Linked DNA regions of Bombyx mori. Each later gene encodes a partner of the first gene's protein in a complex. Links are inferred from orthologs where the notes say so. Each region holds a gene or a part of one and is shown in the gene's direction. Other genes may lie near its edges.

Region 1 (3,156 bases):
CACTGGCATCAACATTGCACCACGAGTTTGCGCAATACCTCCAAGCGTACCTAACTCAATAAAAATGTATTTATAAATTTTATTTCAATTTTATTACGTACTTAGTAAATTCAACAATTGACCTTCCCTTTTATATGTATTCACGTCATTCATTTTTAATTTTTCATCGATTTCTGTAAAACTAGGTCATTGACCTGTTTAGTTGATTCAGTTGTCAATTTCTATCTAAAAAGTAGATACCTATTATGTTTTAAAAACGAACTAACACGGACAACGTGTCCTTTGATACGCTAATATACGCTTTCATGGTAGTCAATGTATGCCTAGTAAATCTATGGTAAGCCTACTGATATATTTTATTATATTTTCTAAATAATGTTTTTAAGCACACTGGTCACTCGTAAATCAGCTGTTTACGGGTAACATGATAACGAACGCGAAGCTTTTGTGAACTGAAGGCCATGTTATTTTTTAAAGATGAAATTTTTATTGCTGTTCCTCCCTTCAAACCGGAATGCAATAATGCTTTGTGGCAGAAATGAGCAAGTAATTTCGTTCGTTTCTCATTATATCGACATCGTGCAAATCAAATAATTCTACAAACAACACGAGTGTTCGAACCATTGCTTTTTATTTTTATCAACAATCAACAAGGTTTCAAGCGAATTAAATGGCTGATTAAAATAACAGATTATCAGATTATAATAATTTAACCAAAAAATAATAGCGAAAATAAACTTTTACATACTTTTGAGTAATTTATTTTTTGACCGTGAATTATTTTGGATAATGGTGACTGCTAAATATTTTGAGTTAATTAGACGATAAAGTCGATTTCCCACCAAAGCATACAGTTTAAGTTTATCTCATATTGTCTTGATCTTTGCTGCACTACAAGCCCTCTTCTGGTCTGCATTCGTTAAATGGACATTATGCGTCATCATCAATGCGTGCTTTCTTGCCACCAGTGAATTAAAATTATCACGCAATCCTATATTTTTGTAATATTTTTGGAAAACAGATCGCAATGTTTTTATAGCATGTAACGTGAATAAGATTTGAGGTTTTAATTTTGAAGAATAATAGAAACGTTGAATAAACAACAAATAAACACGTGATAACGCTAAATACTAATTGTGAATTCGGTAGGCTACTACACTGCAGGATCTAACTGCTGGTATTGTCCCATCGTTTTATGTAACTTCACCGGGTATCTCATACAGCATAATAATATAGTTTAAGCCACGATACCTATGAAAACTTTGAAAAAAAGGCATTGTATTCCGAGTACCTATTTTTGAGACTTTTTGTAGCACGGCGACAGGCGGCAGTTACTAACCCTTGTATCCATAGATAATACACATAGAGAGTACTATCGTAACATTCGTAACTGTGTATAATCTATAACTGTGACTGTATGCTCCAATCAATGTCAAGAAATGTCATTAGTGCTTCTGGCGGTTAAATTAATGTTTTCATTTAATTCCAGATTTTATAAATAGGAACGTTATAAACAAAAATGGCTGAAAAACTCGAAGATTTGAATTTACCACTCACAGTTGTAACTAGAATCGTAAAAGAAGCTCTTCCCAGTGGCGTATCGATATCAAAAGAGGCGCGAACTGGCCTCGCTAAGGCGGCTTCAGTTTTTGTACTTTATGTGACTTCAGCAGCTACAAATATTGTTAAGAACAAAAAAAGGAAGGCTCTCACTGGGCAGGACGTGATAGATGCTATGAAAGACATCGAATTTGATAGATTTGTGGAACCTTTAGGAGAAGCTCTGGAACATTACAAGACCATGGCTTCGGCACGAAAATCCGCTTCTATGAAGAAAAAAGATGAACAAGAAGACGCTGAGATTATAGAAGACGATTGAATACTACTGCGACTTGAGTTTAAAATGTATAGTGGCGCTTAGTGGTGTATATTCAGAAACTGTGCTGAAAAACTATATGAAATAAGTTCAAAGAACCCATGCCTGTGTTACAAAAGTGATAAATGTTTAAATGAAACAAGTTTCCCATGAACATTTACAACAGTTACCTCGCAATAATTAATCAGTTGGTAATAATGTATGAAGTGTTTTAAAATTAAATAAACTTTTATTAAAAACAAGTAAACTTCAAAAGCATCCCAAAATGAATTGTGTCCACTTACTTTTACATCAGTAAATTAACTACAATTAAAACTTAGAACTTCTCAAAATTTGTTTTTGCAATTTGCTAAAATTAAAAGTATTTTATTTGATTTATTACTGATATTTTTCTAAACTTAATTTTTACTGCCATAAAAATTACTTAATGTTAGGTTATGTATGTATGTATGTTATGTAAATGTTACAATTATTACTAGATCTGGTCACACATCCTTTTAAAACTTGTAATTATAAGAAAATTTTGTTAGAATCTGGCTTTTCTATTATTTTTCAGTATTCTAGAATAGTCTCAAGAGAAATTAAAATAATGGTTATGTTTGTGTGAAAACCTCCAATTATTTTCATTCAATATATCATACAATATTCAATGCCCTGCTTATCTATGGTGGTAGTTCTCGAAACTTGGTAGTTTGTTTTGGCTTTTGTCAAGAGTGGGACATGACAACCAATTTGAATTAAATGATACGAAATATGAATCAAATGAGTCGACTATTATCAAAGCCGGCAATGTGACTTTTGGACAATTATTGGTAAATCAGAAAAACGAATTATTGACTTTGTATTCTGTTGGCAGTCACAAAACTCTTCTGAACGACATCTTAGATAAATAACAGGTTAAGTATTAACCTTTATTTAATGCAGGTTTTGAACCGTATTCTTTGAAGGAGACGATTATATTCAAATCAATCTGTATTGACATATCAATAACATTTTTTTGTCCAAATGCACAGATTGCCACCTTTGATAATAGACGACTCAAATACAATATAACATCATAGGATAAGATTCAAAATAAGTGTTTATAGGAAGTCTCAAAGTAGTTCCACTGACAAAGTAAAAAATGGAAGAATTATGGTATGGGCATGTTATGTGAATGACGATAATCATTTGACCAAAAATAATCTAGGTGTGATAGTGACAGTGTTTTAAATAACTTCGATGGACTGAGTAAAATAGGATATGTTGGACAAGATTAGAGATGTGAATGTAGGGAGTGA
Region 2 (3,569 bases), on another chromosome or scaffold:
TAGTCTAAGGGGCTATATCAGCTACGCCCGGATGGCTAGGCGATCTCAAGGGCTCAACCTGGGAGAATTTGCTAATACTAGTCCTAGCAAAAGCAGTGCTTCGCAGAATCTACATCCGGATCGGAATCACGACCCACCTAGAAGATCAGGCGAAAAACTAAGTCCGTTGTGTCTATGGTAGAGTTTGTGAAGAGTTTTCAGCAGTAGGCAGCCTCTTCGTGTTTGCCTGGTATATGTGGCATCAAGCTCAAGGGAGTGACGTTAACTACGGACCACGAGATAGACTTTATGGTCTGCATTCAAACGATATAAAAGAGATTTAATACATTAGAATATATTACAATATTTATTGATTTTTATTATTCCGTAGACAGGTGTATGAAGCCACAACCCATTTGGTTAATTAAGTGGTTACTGAAGCCCATAAACACCACTACCTACTTGGATGCCGCCACCTACCTTGAGATATAAAGTCTAGAGCTCTACTTTATCAAGCTTGTCCTAATCTACAAATTGGATCGCATTATTGTTTTGTGGTAATGCATTACGGTTTCACCAAATTTTATAAGATGAAGAAATTGTTTTTAAATATCACCGCAAGCCCATACACCGACTAGCTTAAGTACTCTGTGACATTAATAAACATTTACTGTATAAGTTGTGTCTTCTTTGCAAGAAAAATACTCACATTAAAATCAAAATGTTAACAAGGACTCTATGATAGATAACTTTTTCGATAAACGGCAAATTTAGGGAATTGTTTATTAATCTTAATTTAGCAATTCTTGTCGTGCGCATTTTAAAGTTTGTAATAAGTGTGCAAGTTTCCAACAACCAAAAAAGGGGTGGATTTTGATTTTCGAATGGTTTCAAAAATTTCATTGAAGTGAATTCTTAAAACTACACGGAAAAAATGAATTAACATTTCAGCTCATTTCATTAGATTTTTTCCATTTAAATTTCCGTATGTAAACCTTCGGCCTTTTATTAAAGGAGTATGTCTTAAGATCCCTTTGCTTAACCGATTGAATAAAGCAAAATAGAAACGGCAACACTATAGTCGGATTTTTAATTAGACGAAGCCAGCTGACAGTAGCTAATGTCACTTTGTGAAATAATGTTGCTATATTTAAAGTAATAGTGATGCGTTCAGTTCTCTTTCAATCACATAAATGAACAATGAGTGTGAAGAGTTAATCATTAATTTCAAACTATAAAAGAATATTATTTATATTTTACAATAAAATTGTATTAAAGTGATCCAATATAATAATATGTTACTAGTAGTATGTAACTACAATCAGTTTGTTTTATTTTCATTACCTATGTACCTATAATTGTTACATTTTATACATCTATAGTTTCAACTATATGATGCATTGGAAATAGGACAGTCTTACAAGCTTCCTCGCAATGTTTTTCTTAATGTTTAAAACACTCGGTATTCAGTACAGGTAGATACCATAGGAACATAATGTTTCGTCGAAAACTCGTTGGTATGTACAAAGCACGGCTAAAATTCGAACCCCGTGCCCGATATCGGCAGTTCGGCACACTAACTATTCACTAGACAATCGGGGCAATTTCATTAATTCAGGAGTTTTTTCAATCGTTCACTTTGTCACAACACTATTTTTATTTCATCAAAAACTGACAACACAGTAAACGTCAGTTTACTTCGTCTAATAAAAAATCCGACTATATGTTTGGTTTTTTAATTTTTAAATAAATAAACTTAGATATTTAAATAGAAACTTATTGCAAACATAATTTTCTTTGACTGATACAGTAAATTAAGTTATTAAATAAATTATTTTACTCTGCGATTGCCAAATATTACACTTAGTGCATATTATTCTTTATGTTCTAACTGTAAGATTTTATTAGCACGTAAATTTTGGAATAAAATATTTACTTTTTAAAGTACATATAAACTTTCATCTTTAAAAAATATGTCTGAAGAAGAATGCCACGAAGATGTCGACATTTCAGATATTACAGAGCATTCGGAATCATATCTAGAAAATGAACATCTAAAATTTGCACTGACGGAGGCTACAGAAGCAGATAATAACAAACTAGAATTTGAACTAAACTCTGAGGAACAAGTACATGAGAAGAAACAGAAAACTGAAGTTATAAGATCTACAAAGCTTCCTATAGCGAGAATTAAAAACATTATGAAAATGGACCCAGATGTAAATATTGTATCTAGCGATGCTGTATTTTTGGTTACTAAAGCGACAGTAAGTATCCTAAATAATTATCTTTAATTTCTAAAATTTCAAATGAACGTGACATTTATTTAAAGCTTCCTCCTCCGTGAGTTGGATTCCTCATGTTTGAGGGTTGTGACTATCTCCCATTATCCTTCTCTACATGATGTTTCACCATCTTCCTCTGTTCTCGGCGATGTGTAAAAGGTTTTTTTAAAGCTTAAAGGCTCCTTTATTTAATGCACTTAGTTTTGTATTCATAAAAAAAAAATTATAACAATAACCACTCAGGCATTGTATATATTTCCTTATTCTGGCTTAGTAACCCAAAAATTTTGACCTTCAGAGATTGCCATTAATTTAAATCCTGGATTGTGTTGTGCTAGTTGTTAGTGGAAAAATTACTGGATGAAATAAATTTTTTATGCTTAATTGGGTGTGTGAAAATATTAGCACCCCCTTAAATGTGTTACAAGGTGCTAGAGTAAAACAGTAGTACAATTTATCTAATTTCTGTTCCAGGAAATGTTTCTAGAAACAATAGTGAAAGAAACTTATGCATTTACATCATCAAATAAACGGAAGGTTATATCAAAGAAAGATTTGGAACTTGTAATAGATAAAGTTGATTGTTTGTGCTTTTTAGAAGGTGCTATGGACTTCTAGATTTTATAAGAAATATCTTATAATTCATTAGTTATTAAATAAATTATATAAATATTTTAAAACTTTGTCTATATTGTTGATCTTAACTTGGTTTTATTTAATTCTTCAAATCATCATCAACAATAAACTTAATTGCATAAGCACTCATACTTAACTCAGAGGTAACTGCTCAACAAGAGGAGGGTTTTAGGTACATGTTGCCAGTTATGCTAATAAATAAAATATCACCTAGCTCTTTAAAGATTTCCACAAATTACAATGAGCTAGAAAACAAATTCATTGGATTCATGCCATAGTTCATAAACTTATTACTATGGATTTGAATTTAAAATATGCATAAAAATTAACATTTAGTAGATTTCCTAAGTCTTTCAAATACAACAATTCTGGGGAGATATATGAAAAAGGGAAGATCTTCCACCGAGTGAGGGATATTGCTTGGTAGAACGATTGTCTAAATGTTGTTTGGGACTTGTATATATGCAAGCTATCTTAAAAATGTAAGCGAGATTCAGGCATCAGTCAGATATCTTGTGTTGTATGGCTATCCGTCACTACATTCAGGTGATTAGATGCTACATGACAGATGAGGTAACAATTCTTTAAGTAAAAAAAAACTAAATTATTTCTTGTTTTATTTTTTATTGCCACTAAAATTTGTAAAAATTTTGTAAAAAAAATTAAAAT
Region 3 (4,570 bases), on another chromosome or scaffold:
AAAATGTCCGAGCACTGAACTGAAACTCGCATTCGTATTCTATTTTTATCCTTTTTGTGTTGTACGTTGTACGTAGTCCATTTTATATAAGAAGCGCACCCAGAGGGAATCTTGCCAAAAAATAACGATCAGTATACATAGAAGCAGCACACAAACATACCGGATTGAAAACCGTTTGAATTCGGTAACTTTTTCAATTTGAACTGTCAATTGTCAGATTATGGTAGTGCAGTTAGTATCGATAGTGACGTAAAATTAAATCGAGTTGCGAAGGTGTTTAAGCATTATCTATGGTCAAGTGGAAGAAAAAGAATGTCAAACGGCAGGAGACATGATCACCGAAAGAATTCAAATCTAAACTCATAGGATTAACCTTAATGTATAATAAGAGAGTGTCAACCTATAGAGCCATCGCTACAACATTTCGACACTGTCATTTTAAAATACGAAATGTCGTATTTCCGCTACTTGTTAAAAAATAAACATATTATCGTTTATGCGTAAACTTTTGTTGCTGTTTTTCAAAATTTCACTTCTAGGAATATTTTCTTTGAGAGTTAAAAAGTAGGGGTTGAAAGTGTAATTTCTCTCATTTGAAAGAGAACTGTCAATATTGAAGCTTTTACATAAAGCTTAGTAAAAATAATACACGTGATGTAATTACAATATATTACCTATGGCCATTACTGTAAACAATAATGTACTTTCTTTTACTTGTATTATGATGTACTTTCAGCAATAATTAGTTTATACATTATATGATTATATTTATTCATTATTACATAATTCACAATATCATTATTCATCCCGTGCAAAGACGGATCACTACTATTGAACATATGATGATTATTAATTGGATTATAAGATATTTTATAAATAGGCCTGAGACATGAAAATACAACATAAACATGATTTAATATGATGGAGAGATAGTAGTTAATAACAGACATATTTATAATTTAAGTTTAAATTTTAAGTATTTTATCAACAACTCTCGCTTGGAAAGAGGGTTTTTTTGAACCCCTAAAAAGAGATCCTAAAAGAATATCTATATTTTTAAAATACTATAAATGTAAAATTGAGTTTTGTTATTGACTCTTAATTTTCATGTTAAATTTTCGCATGCACCTTATCACGGGTAATTTTTCTTAGTACAATGGGAGCGAAGTAGATATGCTATAAAAATTTAATTACAAGGTGTGGTCCTGTCTTCTAAAGCGATCTCTTTCATTCAACCGTTGTATGGATAAGATTCAAGAAAGAAAAGTGTAAATCTACTATGACTAGAACACAAGAATGAAATTGGATATGCCATTGTAATATTTTTCCAATTAGGTATTTCTGCAACTAATATACTAAACTAATATGGTCTTTTCAACTATCTAGGTCCTAGATTCTAGGAGATGGAAATGGAGCAAAATCACTGGACTTGGCTGGTTGGCCTATTACGAAAACTGATATCATTCAAACTTTAAACTATTACCTTTTTTATACCTTAAAAAAGGTAATAGTATGGCTTGGTAATGACACCTTTACGCTTCTCGTGCAAAAGAATTTACTTTAATTTAATTCACGAAGCCCGCTATAGAAAGCAGAGTATTATATACACTTGACATTGGCGAAATCTAAAAGGAAACGCCATAAACCTAAGAGATAGATAGATAAAAGAATTTACTTTTTGAAACAAAGCCTATGAAATACTATTCCTTTGCCTGTTTTTTGGGATCAAACAAAAAGTTATTAATTCATAAACTATAACAGCTGTCTCTTGTTTTGCTTTTGAGTTTTAAAATTTGAATTTTAACTTAATTATAACACCTAATAGTTAGTAAGAATTTTAAAGAAGTGAAATTTCTAATCTAAGTTTGAGGAAAAAAAACCCTTACATTACTACCATTTAAGACAGAAGATACAGTAAGTATATTTAAAATTACTTTAATAAATAAAATGTTACGATTTTCAAGGTTACGGTATAACCTCCTAGTTATAAAAATCACACAGTTTAAATTAAATGATCGCTGTAATGACATTTGTACCAACGACGTACTTGAAAATATCTAATAATATTATACTGTGTAAAGTATAGGTATCTATTGTATGAAAGTAGGTGTATGTAATTAGATCGTGAAATTCCGACACGGTCCAATGATCAGCAACATGTTTAAAGCAGTCGCCCATAAAATAAAAACTATATCCACGACATTCATGTAGGTAAGTCGAGTGAATCAGTCAGTAAGTAAATGAAACGCCGCGGTGATGCAGTCAGTAGATATATAATTTTTTAAAATACTTTTGATGTACATGGAAAGTGTATAACGGAAATTAAAAACCTTTTTATTATCCTACAACAAGTACAACATATTTAGTCTTTTATGGATCAATTCGAAATAAAGTAAGAATTTAATTTTTTAAATATTTTTCTTTAGATTTTGCAGCACCATTTTGTACTTTCTAGTTTTTTTTTTCAATTCAAATTACATGTATGTATTTTAATCATTATTGTTTACTATTTACACAGATTTAGAAGCAGTATTGACAGTAGCTATATTGATTATTTTGTTGTAATGTTTTTTATTTATTTTTACTTAAGCAACTTTTTTTTACAAACAGGTTTATAATAACACATCTTTTTATTGCAGGCTGGTAGATTGACTATGGTAAATTATGGAAATAGAAAATATAGAAGATACTGTAACAGTGAAGCTATTGTTTTTTGCTAAATCAAAAGAATTGTCGGGAGTTAGAGAAACTTCCATAACTTTACCAAGAAAGTTGGGATATCAGAGATTGTTGAATATTATATGCGATAAATATAACTTAAACAGTATTAAGAAAAATATACTTTTGGCTAAGAACGAGGTAGTGTGTGAGGATACAGTAGATATAGAAATTAATGAACAAGACAACTTAGCTGTTATACCACCATTGAGTGGAGGTTAAATAGTATTTCACAGGATGGACCATATAAAATTAACAGTAGATAGACTGTCAGTCGAAGAAATAAGTGAACTTGTAACTGATGATAGCTGCGGTGCAATTTCATTGTTTATTGGCACAACTAGAGACAATTTTGAAGGAAAAAAGGTAAACTTGTATTATTTAAAATTTTCTAGTCATTAGGAAAATAGGTATTTTGTTAAGATTCTGTATGTGAAGCCCGTTGTTCAAAACGGTAATGGCTTTTAACCATTTTAGTGTTAAGTGATATTTCATGTCACTATAGGCAGCAAATTCTTCGTGATCTACAGGATATGGCACCCGGTGCATTCACATCAAGCGACGCAATTTTCTTAATGAAATAGGTTAACAAATGTTCACAAATTATTTCTATAATAAAGGAATAACATTACTTGTTATAAAAATTGAACCCGCAATAATTATAATTTTTGTGTAATTATTGGTGATAGGGCATCATATCTGAGCCCACGCGGGTAAGTACCACCATCCTGCCTATATTTTCCGCGAAGCCGTAATGAGTTTCCGTTTAAAGGGTGGGGAAATTGTTGCAATGAAAAAACTGAGGCTTAGACAAAAAGAGTTTGAAGAGCAACCTAGCCCAAATACATAACCAACTTAATTTCTCGCTGGATTGGATTTCTCTTACTAGGACTATTGTTAGCAAATTCTCTCAGGATGAACCCCATGAGCTTACCAACCCGTCCGTGCGTAGCTGAAGATATAAATAAAGAAAATATGGCCATAACTCTTTGTCTATTTGCATCTTCTAAATTTACAATTTCCAACACAGATATAGTTGTTTACGTTCCATAGATAAGAAATGATTTATTTTATATTATAGTTTGACCTCTTTGAACACTTTTTGTAAACAACAACCAAGTCAGATAAATGTGGTGAAGTAAAAAATATTCATGTAAATGCAGTAAATAACAAGAGATTGTTTAGTCATACCGATGTTAGCAATGATTATATTTCAAAAATTTAAACTCATTTTTATACCTTTGTTTTCAAGTTAAGTCTGTTCATACGGTATGCTGCGGGCCACTTTGAACTAGAAGGTTGTTTCTTCCTAGTTTCGAGATAAAAAAAATATATTTTCGTAACGAGCTCACGGCCCACCTGTTGTTCAGTGGTTACTGGAGTCCATATACATACATCTACATCTCAATTGTTTAGTAATTACGCACGTTACTATTATATCGGATTTTTATTACACGATGTGGAAGTCATTCGTGAACGTGTACTAAGTACGTATTTCATTAGAAATAAACCTTATCGTGACCGCCTAAAATTACATATCCGACCCAGGCCACGAGGCAAATCAAAGGTACCGTCGTCTAAAGAACATCCGACGACATTTATTGAAGTCGTCGTGGCCTAAAGGATAAGACGTCCGGTGCATTCGTATATAGCGATTGCACCGGTGTTCGAACCCCGCAGGCGGGTACCAATTTTTCTAATGAAATACGTACTCAACAAATGTTCACGATTGACTTCCACGGTGAAGGAATAACATCGTGTAATAAAAACGTAACGTGTACAATAAAAGTTTTAACATGTGGTAGGACCTCTTGAGAGTCCGCGCGGGTAGGTACCACCACCCTGCTTATTT

What was found. Proteins that work in one complex are often made in the same cells at the same time.
Region 2: DNA polymerase epsilon subunit 3 (region 1) and DNA polymerase epsilon subunit 4 share a complex: the UniProt entries of both Drosophila melanogaster proteins name them as parts of the DNA polymerase epsilon complex. The link is inferred for Bombyx mori from reciprocal best matches to the Drosophila melanogaster genes Chrac-14 and PolE4.
Region 3: DNA polymerase epsilon subunit 3 (region 1) and molybdopterin synthase catalytic subunit share a complex: the UniProt entries of both Drosophila melanogaster proteins name them as parts of the ada2a-containing (ATAC) complex. The link is inferred for Bombyx mori from reciprocal best matches to the Drosophila melanogaster genes Chrac-14 and Mocs2B.

The regions. Positions count from the first base shown.
Region 1 is NC_085130.1:7,455,676-7,458,831, reverse strand, and holds DNA polymerase epsilon subunit 3, read left to right. Parts: upstream 1-1,394; 5' UTR 1,395-1,519; coding exon 1,520-1,879; 3' UTR 1,880-2,408; downstream 2,409-3,156. UniProt on the Drosophila melanogaster protein: Accessory component of the DNA polymerase epsilon complex. Participates in DNA repair and in chromosomal DNA replication. Histone-like protein which promotes nucleosome sliding of ATP-dependent nucleosome remodeling complexes.
Region 2 is NC_085128.1:3,897,740-3,901,308, forward strand, and holds DNA polymerase epsilon subunit 4, read left to right. Parts: upstream 1-1,643; 5' UTR 1,644-1,952; coding exon 1,953-2,246; intron 2,247-2,738; coding exon 2,739-2,882; 3' UTR 2,883-2,944; downstream 2,945-3,569. UniProt on the Drosophila melanogaster protein: Accessory component of the DNA polymerase epsilon complex. Participates in DNA repair and in chromosomal DNA replication. Has a role in cell cycle progression. Required for wing morphogenesis.
Region 3 is NC_085131.1:1,996,936-2,001,505, reverse strand, and holds the start of molybdopterin synthase catalytic subunit, read left to right. Parts: upstream 1-1,645; 5' UTR 1,646-1,914; intron 1,915-1,985; exon of another isoform or gene 1,986-2,392; intron 2,393-2,639; 5' UTR 2,640-2,955; coding exon 2,956-3,084; intron 3,085-4,570. UniProt on the Drosophila melanogaster protein: Catalytic subunit of the molybdopterin synthase complex, a complex that catalyzes the conversion of precursor Z into molybdopterin.